Linked DNA regions of Rattus norvegicus. The protein of the gene in region 1 purifies or fractionates together with the protein of each later gene. This does not show direct contact. Links are inferred from orthologs where the notes say so. Each region holds a gene or a part of one and is shown on either strand. Other genes may lie near its edges.

What was found.
Region 2: the proteins of Ep300 (region 1) and Klf5 purify together in Homo sapiens (affinity purification with western blotting; 3 studies listed by BioGRID). This does not show direct contact. The link is inferred for Rattus norvegicus from reciprocal best matches to the Homo sapiens genes EP300 and KLF5.
Region 3: the proteins of Ep300 (region 1) and Zeb1 purify together in Homo sapiens (affinity purification with western blotting; 5 studies listed by BioGRID, with this or other methods). This does not show direct contact. The link is inferred for Rattus norvegicus from reciprocal best matches to the Homo sapiens genes EP300 and ZEB1.

What each region holds. Positions count from the first base shown.
Region 1 is NC_086025.1:115,032,800-115,036,453, reverse strand, and holds part of Ep300 (histone acetyltransferase p300), read right to left. Parts: intron 2,983-3,654; coding exon 2,845-2,982; intron 1,605-2,844; coding exon 1,176-1,604; intron 361-1,175; coding exon 181-360; intron 52-180; coding exon 1-51. UniProt on the Homo sapiens protein: Functions as a histone acetyltransferase and regulates transcription via chromatin remodeling. Acetylates all four core histones in nucleosomes. Histone acetylation gives an epigenetic tag for transcriptional activation.
Region 2 is NC_086033.1:82,474,977-82,478,630, reverse strand, and holds part of Klf5 (Krueppel-like factor 5), read right to left. Parts: coding exon 3,060-3,654; intron 1,975-3,059; coding exon 1,915-1,974; intron 1-1,914. UniProt on the Homo sapiens protein: Transcription factor that binds to GC box promoter elements. Activates the transcription of these genes.
Region 3 is NC_086035.1:56,646,604-56,650,257, forward strand, and holds part of Zeb1 (zinc finger E-box-binding homeobox 1), read right to left. Parts: intron 2,065-3,654; coding exon 1,887-2,064; intron 248-1,886; coding exon 1-247. UniProt on the Homo sapiens protein: Acts as a transcriptional repressor. Inhibits interleukin-2 (IL-2) gene expression. Enhances or represses the promoter activity of the ATP1A1 gene depending on the quantity of cDNA and on the cell type.

The DNA of each region.
Region 1 (3,654 bases):
GCCTCTCTCCTCTGTTTCTGTAGGTTCTACTTTACCATCCTCAGCTTTAGCCTGAAAGACAAGGCAGAACTTTCACTATTTCACAGACATACTCCTCGGAATAAGTCCATGACCATCACTTATGTATCTACTCTCTTCATTAGGGATACCCACAAATCTCCTTTCATAACAGAGCCTCACCTCCTTTGTGTCATCAGGTTGAGCATCTGCAGGTTCTGGTTGATCCACGTCCATTTTAACCTCCATTTTGACTTCCTGTGATGGTTGCTTCTCAGGAATAGTCTGAGAATTCACTTCTGTGCTACTAGTAGATGGAGGGTTTGACACCTGGCCTTCAACACTTACAGCTGGCTGAGAAAGCTGAAGAGGAAAAAAAAGCACACAAAAGCTTGTCAATTACTCAGAGTTTAACTTTAAGCTACAGAGCCGTACCATTTCTGTTGGGAGCAGTGCCACTGGACCCACTGCTGTCTCCTCTTACTCAGTTCATCTTAAGATAGGAGGTACAGGACTTGCCAATGTTGGCTGGTTCGTTTTACTTGAATGGCTACAAAGGTTTTGGTGTTACTTCCAAAGAGGACTTCCTCAGAGAAAAAACTCAAGGTATTAAAAAATGTAATTGCGGGGCTGGAGAGATGGCTCAGCGGTTAAGAGCACCTGACTACTCTTCCAGAGGTCCTGAGTTCAATTCCCAGCAACCACATGGTGGCTCACCACCATCTGTAAAGAGATCCGATGCCCTCTTCTGGTGTATCTGAAGACAGCTACAGTGTACTTATATATAATAAATGAATAAATCTTAAGAAAAAAAAATGTAATTGCGGACAATGTGATGGTTCACTGGGTAGAGGGACCTGCTATCAAGACTGACAACCTGAATTTGATCCCTGGGCGACACCTATGGTAGAAGAGGATAAATGACTGCTCCAGGTTGCTCTCTGACTTGTGTGGTTATGTGTAATTAGTCCTATAATGTCCTTTAGTTTAATTTCTCAGTACTGCTACTTAATCTGTTTAAAAATATCTTTATGTAAATAAGGCACAGAGTGGTGATATACTCTTTTACCCATAAGTCTTCAGGTCCTAGAAGAGATAAAGCAAAATGGAAAGCAAAACTAAAGAAAACCACAAGAAAGAAAAACAAAAAACATTACTGGAGTTTCCAATCTACGTACTGGAGTAGGAGGCTGAGGAGGCAGCAGTGGTGCTGTTGGGGTGGGGACAGAAGCTGCTGTGCTCTGCTGTGAGCGAGGCTGTGGCTGGGACTGGTCAGCAGGAGGAACAGGAAGTGAAGGTTGCACTTGGGGAGGCAGATGTGTTGGTGGTGTAGGAGTCTGTCTAGATGGGGGGCGTAGAGACTGGGGCTGTGCTCCAGGCGGCATGGCAGGGGGTGTAGGAACAGGCGCTGGAATTGCTGTTGCTGCTGGTTGTTGAGTCCCTATGCTTGGGGGTGTGTGATGAGGAGTAGGGGTACGGCTAGGAACAGGAGAAGGTGAATTCTGATGAGCTTGTTGAGGCAGAGTAGGACAGTGAATATGGCTCCCTTGAGACCCTGGAGGCATTATAGGAGAGTTCACTGGGCAGGAAGAACTGGACATCTGTGCCTGTGAGAATGAAAGATATACGTTATTGCAAAGGCGGATATATAGTCTTAGTACACACAGTGAGAATAAACAAAAAACAATACCTAACGTTTTTTCATTCTGAAAAAGTGTCACTATGTAGACCTGGCTAGCTTTACTAACAGAGACCACCTGCCTGTCTGTCTCCAGAGCAAGGACTGAAGGTGTGCAGGCCTGAACTCAATAAGTTTTAAAGAGGAGGAAAGGGAAACACTCACAATCATACAGGGTTGTAACTTAAGCATGCCTGATTAGAAAGCAGCCACAAGAGGAAATCAGATGCACAGGAGTGGAGTTACAGGCATGTGAGACCCTGATACAAAGATGGACTCTGAACCAGGGTCTTGAAGAACAGCAAGTGGTCTTAACTTGAAAGCCATCTCTAACAACCCTAAGATTTTATTTATTTATTTATTTTTTCTCTTTTCTTTTTTTTCGGAGCTGGGGACCGAACCCAGGGCCTTGCACTTGCTAGGCAAGCGTTCTACCACTGAGCTAAATCCCCAACCCCAAGATTTTATTTTTAAGAGTTCATCCTTGGCCAGTCCTGGTAGTACAGGCCTTTAATCCAGCTAGTTGAGAGGAAGCAGGAGGATCATGAATTGAGACTAACCTAGACTACTTGGAAAAAATTCAGTGTTACCCTGAGCTATTATATTAAGATTCGTTCATATAGTACAATACTTTAAATGCATATGCACATGCTAGATTTGATTCCTAATACTACCAAAAAAAAAAGATATGGTTTGAAAGGTTGAGATGTGTAGCTTAATATTACAAAACCACTGTCTCTTGCTTAAAAATGCTATAAGCACAAAACAGAGTGTGGTAAGGCAAACCTAGAACCTAGCAATTGGGAGGCTGAACAGGAGTATATGACATCAGAACTCTCCTAGGATACACAGTGAGGTTCAGACAAGTTTGAGCTACATGAAATTTAGTCTCAAAACTCCAAATAAATATTTTTAAAAAGTAAAGATTTGTTCTCTGAGTTAAAGGCCAAGGTTAAATGGTAAGACCTGTCTATTTCTATGCCACATTTCTCATGGAAGCTGTTATCAGCAGGAAAGAATGTCTGCCTGTCACGTCTGGAATCTGAACACAATCCTCAGACCCCACACAAAGGTAGGAGAGTAGAGTAAATGCTGTTGTCCTGTATGTGTGCCCTGTGGCCTGTGTGCCTGCTGCACACTAAGCATCATTTTAAACAGTAAAAACATACTTGAGACACTGGTGCTTGACTGCTGGATGGAGCCAAAGGCATGTTTGTTACATTCATTCCTTGGGATGGAAACTGAGTCTGGGAGAGAAATTGGTTCTGGCCAGAAGTCTGCTGCATGCGAGGTCCATAGCCCATAGGCTGCAAATAAACAAAAACACCACACCAAACCATAGATCACCAAATGCTTCATTACAATATTCTCCCACTGTAATGAGCAATCACTCCTGTGATATCCAGATGTTTGCAGAGAGGAAAACATAAGTGAAAGAACTAGTAATCACTTAAAAACTCAGAGTACCAGGCTTGGAAGTACTGAACATAACCTCAAGAAAGAGGGTGAAGGAACGGATGGCTCGAGATATCTCTATCTCTGACATGAAACAAACAACTGAGTATTCTCGTCACAGTGGAAAATGAATAAGTAATTCCATGCGCTCTCTGCTCTTACTACTGGTGCTGAAACAGCACAAACCTAAATGGCTGGAAACAAGCAAAAATCACATGACTACTGGCTAATGTGGTATTCATGATCAGGAAACGTGATGAGACAGGTCCACTTTTCCTGTCTAAAATGGCCTTACATGAGTTTAGACCTTTAATAAAAGGATATACGGAGAATTAAGAACCTATGGTAATATGAATGAGAAATGTCTCTCCAGTCTTGGGCAGTTGAAAATTTGGCCTCTAGCTAGGGGTGCTATTATAAAATCTTCAGCAAGTGCAGCCATGTTGGACAAAGTATGTCAGTAGGTGAGGGTTGAGTTTACAGACTTATTAATCCCCCTTTATTTACTCTGCTCATTGTTTGTG
Region 2 (3,654 bases), on another chromosome or scaffold:
CTATCAAACAAAACTTCATGAAACTGCATTACATGGCCTTACTCATTAGATGTTTAAGGCCACAATATTTACGATCGAGTGACAAAGTCCTTCCATGGGACCCTAACTAGGCCTAGATCCTCCGTCTCAGTCTGCTTTTTTATTAGTACTGTCATTGTTCAGACCCACTATTAAATTTCTCTGCCAGCAGGTCAAGTTCCAGGATCCCAGGTACAAGCAAGCATTCAGCAGTAAACCCTGACAGGGTGGAAAGGCTATTCAGATACAGCCCGCAATAAGCAGTCGGTTACATCGGCATATGTAATTGCACATTTTATTATGGGGACTTTAGTCTCGAAAATGCCTTCCTTCTTCCCTATCTCCAGTTTCAAGGACTTCTGATGAGAGAGGAACAGCTCAAATGTTTCGAAGCTACTATTTCTGTTTCCCTTGATCAAAAGCTCAAAAAAAGCCCAAGTTCAGTGTTTCCCTAACAACACTAGTCTACAAAAGGATATTTCAGTATGTTGCTTTAGTATTTCTATATGGATTCTTCTGGCCCCTGTCAACTGTATGTTATGAGGGATTATATTGGAGCTTGAATTATCTGTTGGATTATTCTGTTCGTGCTTACCTGCTGACAAAAAAAAAATATACCTCGGGCTCAAATGATTTCATTCTCATCACAGATAAATGTGAGATGTCTTTCTTTTAAAAGCCGTTCCAGGAAAGCCCGAATCTACCATTTGGATTTGAGGAAGTGTTTAGCATTCAGATTATCTAGCAAGGCTCCCTAACACGCCTACAAGAAGTCTGCAGCCGCTCTCACAGGGCTCTACTTCTGCACTGACCTTTGTTCAAAGGCTTTTACTTTTTAATGCAGCGGTTAGAGATAACTACTTCATTTATCAAAACTCAATTTCCATAGTAACATCTAGCCTGGGGAGATTCAAGTCCTCACACTAACCCAACAACCCATTCAAAGGAACTGTTGAATACTTTGGTTTCCATGGCAATGGTGGAATAATACATTTTGCTAGGTCACTGCTTTTATTAGCAAACTTATTCTTTGAACTTTAGGTAAGGAGGGTGTATTTATCGAGGCGGGGGAAATGCAGCCACTTTTATATCTGTTTTTACCTTTAGGGCTATTCTTAAGAAAATTATAATTGTAGCCATCCAGACACCTGAAAATATTATGGGTATGTGGAACCCACCCACCCTCTAATAAAGTAGGCTGCTGAATTTCATTGTAAAAGTGATTCTGATAATAAGGGCTTCAAAATTAATAGCTCCTACAAGGGACTGCTGTGAATTTAACCAAACACATCAAAAATATAATTAGAGACTGAACTTAAAAATGAGAATGAAATGGAATACTAAGGATGGAGGAGGCCTTCTCAAACCACAGCCCTCCGTCCTGGCCACCCCATTTCATACTCTGCAAATCTCAGGCCCACTTTTCAGAAACAGCAATAAGGTTAAAACACAAATATTTGAAGCCACTGGTGAAACTGATGATAATGTGTTAAGCACTGGTGCTCGACGTGGTGAGTGGAAAAGTTTTTACCTTAAAAAAGGGCCTTATTGAAGCAAGATGATTTACCAAGATTTTTTTTCCTTCTTTCAAGACAGAAAGAAATAGCATTGCCATTAAAGTTTTAAAATCCATCAGTAAACACTGCTGTTCACATTTTGAGGGTCATTAATTCTACGTGAGGTGACAGGGCAAGGTCTCACCGAGGAGACATCAGCCTTCCCGGAATCAGTTTCTTGGGGAACTGAATTGAGCCCAGCCCTTGCTGAAAAGGTAGGCCATTAAAAAATAAAAGTTGACAGAAGAAAGAAGAGATCAAACACATCTTGGCTTTTAAAAGGATGAATGTCACTTATACTATTTACACAACTCCCAGAATTAACAAGAAAATTACCTACCCGTATGAGTCCTCAGGTGAGCTTTTAAATGAGACGACTTTGTATAAACTTTTGTGCAACCTAAAATAAAGGGAACAGAGGAAGAACAACTTGTCATTTCCAGGGCCTTTTGCAATCTTTACATTCGATGATTCAGTGTTTAAAACTTGGCTTTCAAGATGAAATCTCTTGTGCTAGATGTAATATTGGAAGTTTTGGTTAGGAAGTTTCAAGGTGCCCTCCTGACCTTATTAGGAGGCAGAGGTGATCTGCTTTATGGACCATTTTGGGAGCAAAGACCACAGATAATCCAGCCAGTAACAAATGGAAATTCTGTGTTTATATTCCAGTAGGTACTTTTTGCTATAAGGCAGGCTTCAGTGACTGGAGAGCTATCGTAGTGTGTGTGTGTGTGTGTGTGTGTGTGTGTGTGTGTGTGTATTTAATGTAATGGATGTAGGACTGACAGTGTTATATCTGAGATAACTATAATTTTCTATACTCCTGTGTTTTTTTTTTCATTTAGCATGTCATGCCACATTGTGCAGTCAATAAATTATGCCCCGCATTAACCATAAACTCACTTATGCCTGCAACTTGGAGATGTATTACGTCCAATTATATTTTGGGTCATGTATCTCATTGGGGAACGAGCACACACTAATGGAACCAACCATTCTTAAAATTCATCCTGATGCCTTGTGCCTGCCAAGGGGTCCCTACAACCTGAAGAGAAGTTACCACATGCACTATTGCCTATCAACCTACTTAATCTCCAGAGACTTTAGAATTTGGTGCTACGGTTTTAGACCAAATGAAATCCAATACTACTAAAGAGAAAGAAACCCCATTTAGATTAATGGTCTAGTCATTACATAAACAAATCAAATAAAAAAGGGAATTGTAGGAGTTAATTAAGATCTCACTATGTAGCCCAGGCTAGTTAGAACATCTTCCTATCTCAGCCTCATTTCGGGGATTAAAGGCATGAGCTGTCATGACTGGCTAGCCATTATACACCAGCATAAAACACAAAAATATTAAGAGAAAAAGTACACCCTATATATTTTCATGGCTAAGGTTCAAAAGGGAGCAAACGTGAGACTCCGGGGCACCCCGGAACACGAAAAACACTACGGATGCTCCAGAGCACACAGACCACATACCATCATAATCACAGAAATGGATGCGTCGCTTCTCCAGATCCGGGTTACTCCTTCTGTTGTATCGGACAGGTTGGATATTTGGCGAATTAACTGGCAGAGTGGCAGGTAAATTTGGATTGTGAATTGCCAGTTTCGAAGCAATTGTAGCAGCATAGGACGGAGGTGGGGTCAGATTCTGGAGCATCTCAGCTTGTCTATCAGGACTTCCAGGCTCTGAGCTCGGTGGTGATGGGGGAAAGTAGGTGGCCTGCTGTGGAAGAAACTGACTCGGCATGGTGTACGTGCAAGGAGGCATGCCCTGGAACTGTTTCATGGACGTCTGTGGCACAGCAGAGGGGTGTGAGTTAAGGCCAGCCATAGAGACATTAAGGGTGTCCATGACTGCTGTCTGGTTTGTCGAACTGGGCATGTCTAGATCAGGTGTATTCAACAGCTGGTACAGGTGGCCCTGCTGGGAAGGGACCGAGAGATGAAGATCTGGTATAGGAAGTTCTTGTTTGATGAAGATATTGTTCACCTCTGGCGCTGTGGTCTGGTGGGAGCTGAATATACTGGTGAACTCAGGGAGGGCCTGGGTGGGGGCCGGAGGAGGAGG
Region 3 (3,654 bases), on another chromosome or scaffold:
AGGACTTCCGGCAGGGCTTCCGGCCCAGTGTCTTCCTGCTCCATGGCATCTCTGTCTTCAGCTCCTCTCTTGCAGTAGGAGTAGCGGTGATTCATGTGTTGAGAGTAAGACCCCGAGTGTGAGAAGCGCTTGCCACACTTGTCACATTGGTAGGGCTTTTCCCCAGAGTGCAGTCGCATGTGCTCAATCAAATGATGCTTGTGTTTAAATGCCTTTCTACAGATTCCGCACTCGTGGGGCCTCTTACCTGCAAGGTAAGAACGCAGCTATGAAACTGAATACTGGCAGAAGTAAACAGAGTGCTTGGGATGTGAGGGGACATTAAGACTATGAAAGCGAAGGGCTATAGTTCCATGCTCAAGAAACTGGCAGGTCCCCAACTATACTTATGGTTCATCTTTTCTATGTGAAAATTCAAGGCTACACAGTGCTTTGCAGATGAGGTCAGTGCTAACTGCATAAGGCTGAAAAGCCAAAAGTCCACACATCAGGACCACATGGCAAAATGTCGGCCATTGAGGCCCCCATGTGCACAGCAATGGTCTCAGGAAGAGGAGTTCTATGGCATTTGATGTCTCACGGATCTTTTTACGTATGAGCAAACTAACACACATGTAGAGTTTATGTAGAAGCTGTTATGATATCTAAACCAGCTTTTGCCCCGCAGGGCGATCTTGTCCCTGATAAGTGGGTGTGGCCTGAGCAGCACAGGAGACATACCACGGCAGCAGGCATAACCAGGACTGGTGACTTCTAAGTACAGCATAAGCACTTAAAATCCAGAAAGGACTTTTGACATCTCTTTTTACAGCTAGGATGTCATTTTAATTTTGATATTACTGGTATTTAACTCTTTTTAAAGAATTAGGAGATTTTCTAATTTTCTCAGTAAATACAAGTAGAGGGCATGGTCCTGAGCTTTTGTTAGAGAGGTACAGCTTTCAACCCCAACAACAGTGCAAGTGTCACACTGCAGAGTGTGATGAACACTTCTCTTGTGTCTTGTCACCAGAGGGAATGAGTTACCATGGTTGGTAAGAGGCTGACGGTGTGTATGTGCCTGGGTCCTGCAGCTGCAGCTGAAGTGACTGGTAAGGCAATCACTTGGGGTTAGTTACAATGAAATGAGCCTTTCATCTAGCCATCTTGTTGGCTGTGCAGCTCTTACTGCTAGGAGCCTGGTGCTAAACTATGGACATTCTGGAGTTGTCCAAAAGCTATTGAGGCTTGAGGCCAGTCGTGGAGGGAGTTCTCAGACCACAGGGGCCTGCTTCCTATCTGGACTTCCCAGGCTGCAGAGACACACTTACTAAAATAGACCAGCATGGCTCTGGAGAGAGGGAATTGGGAGGGGCAGGCCAGCAAGCACCTTCTGTAAAAGCCCTCCCTGGTGAAGCAAGCATCTTGGGACCGGCTGCCCTCTGTCCCCACTGCAATCATTCAAATCTATCATTGGTATGAGTAGAAACAACAGCTTTCGGCACCAGGCAAGTGAGGGATCTCTGGGTGGAATAAAACATCATCTAGAATGCCAAAGTTTGATTTTCATCTTTAAAAAAAAAATCCTTTTCAATCACAAAAAATGTAAAAGTCTATTCTTGGCTCACAAGCATCAGAGAGATAAGTGGAGCCTTGTTTGGTCTGCAAGACATTGTTTGTAGGTCCTAGGTCAACCTAAGGACTGAAGTGTTCTTAAAATCAAGTTCAGTTTCTTATGCAGAAGTTCTTTCTTTTAAAAACCCTTAGGTGACCAAGAGGCCAGCCTTGCACCACTTGTGAAGTGAAGACCAAGGAGCAGAGCTGAGAGCCTCAGATGCCACAGGAAGGTTTCCTGTGCCCTGGGCCACAGGCGGCTTCAGAACCTTGTGCCTGTGTCCCCCACGCACCTGTATGCTCATATTTGTGTCTCAGCAGGGAGCTGCTCTTCTGAAATATCTTGTCACACAGGTCACATGCGTACATCCCATTCTCTGCCTTCCGAGTTTTCTTTTTGGGTGGCGTGCAGTCAGAGTCATTCTGGTCCTCCACGGAGACTCCTTCTGAGCTAGTGTCTTGTCTTTCATCCTAAGGGGAAAAAGAAGATTAAATGTCTAAGAAAAAGGTTCACAAGCAATAGGGTCAGTGAGATGGCTCAGCAGACAAAGCCACAAACACAGATCACCAGAGTTGGATCCCTGGGATCTACATGGAGAAAGGAGAGAGCTGACCTCTACATTGTCTCTGACCTCCACGTGTGAGGGGTGACATGGGAGGCACCCCACTGCCAATAAATAAAGAAATGTAGGAAGATCAGAAGATGCATGAGAAAGAAATCATGTTAGACATCCACCAGAGCCCAGCAAGCCTATGGGAGAATGACTGCAGACAGCTCCAGGGGCACTAGCACACTACAGTGACTGCACACGGGGTGCTAGCACACACTACAAATAGACACAGAGAGACTCAATGAGTCTGGGAACAACATAGAACAGGGTATAGCAAAAACATCCCTCAACTGTACCAAAAAGAGGGGCCAATCAGATGGTCAGCTGCCACATTTACTTTGTTCTAATTATGATTTTACAGTAGTTTTGCAGAAAGGTTTAATCAATGAGCTTGATTCCCAATTCATTATTTACCATAGTTTTAACAAGAATTCTGAGTTTCACTAAGTAAAAATTAAGATGTAATGTTTAGAAAATATCTTTAAACTGTGTCCTCCATTCTGGAGGCCTTTGTGCCAGCTCCCTTGGTCTGGCGAAGAGGGTTTTGCTTTGGCCCATACTTTCCCTGAATGAGGAGGGAAAGTGTGAGAGGGAGTGAGACTTTTAAATGGGAGCTGTGTGTAAAACAGAACCCTTATGATTGTCATAGAATATACACGACACACCACAATACCTGAAGACAGTCTCAGGGAGGTCACTTTAGGGGAAGGCCCTTTTCTCAATGGAATAATTCTGCAGAGAGCCTCTTGCAGACTAAGGTCAGCTATGACCTTTGCATCTCTTCTAGAGTTCTGCCTCTAAACTCTCTCTGTTCTTCTGAAAGCTCTCTATGACAAGCAAAGCCACTCATTTGCTTGTCACTATAGCTGCCAGTGCAGAAGTGACTCTATAGTTTTTTGATAGTCAGTCATTTGAAATGGTAAAAGCTCTGTTTTCTTTAAATTTAAACATGTATCAAGAAGGGCTGGGAAGATGGTGGATAGTGGGGACTCACTAGACAACCAGTCTAGACAAAATGGTAGGCTCCAGTTCAAGGAGAGACCCTGTCCCTAAAATCTGAGAGTGATTAGGAAGATAGTCACAGTCAATCTCTGGCCTCTACATGCACACTCATGGGTGGACACACCTATACATACACAAGTATACAACACACACACACACACACACACACACACACACACACACACACACACACACACACACACCAGAGAGCTACTGTCATTGGTCATGGACATGGTTTCTTCAAGAGTCACTACAATTCTGGGAACACCCATGAAAGGCAGTATTGAAGGGTCACAGGACATGGAAGTAATTGCAGCTGTGCCTGCAGTAAGATCAAACAGGTATCTCTGGCATTTGATTCAATTAAGAAAACTGATAAAAAAGTGGTGACATTAAGCCTAGTGACATGGCAAGATTCTGAAGAGACAGCAAGAAACAGATAGTGCAC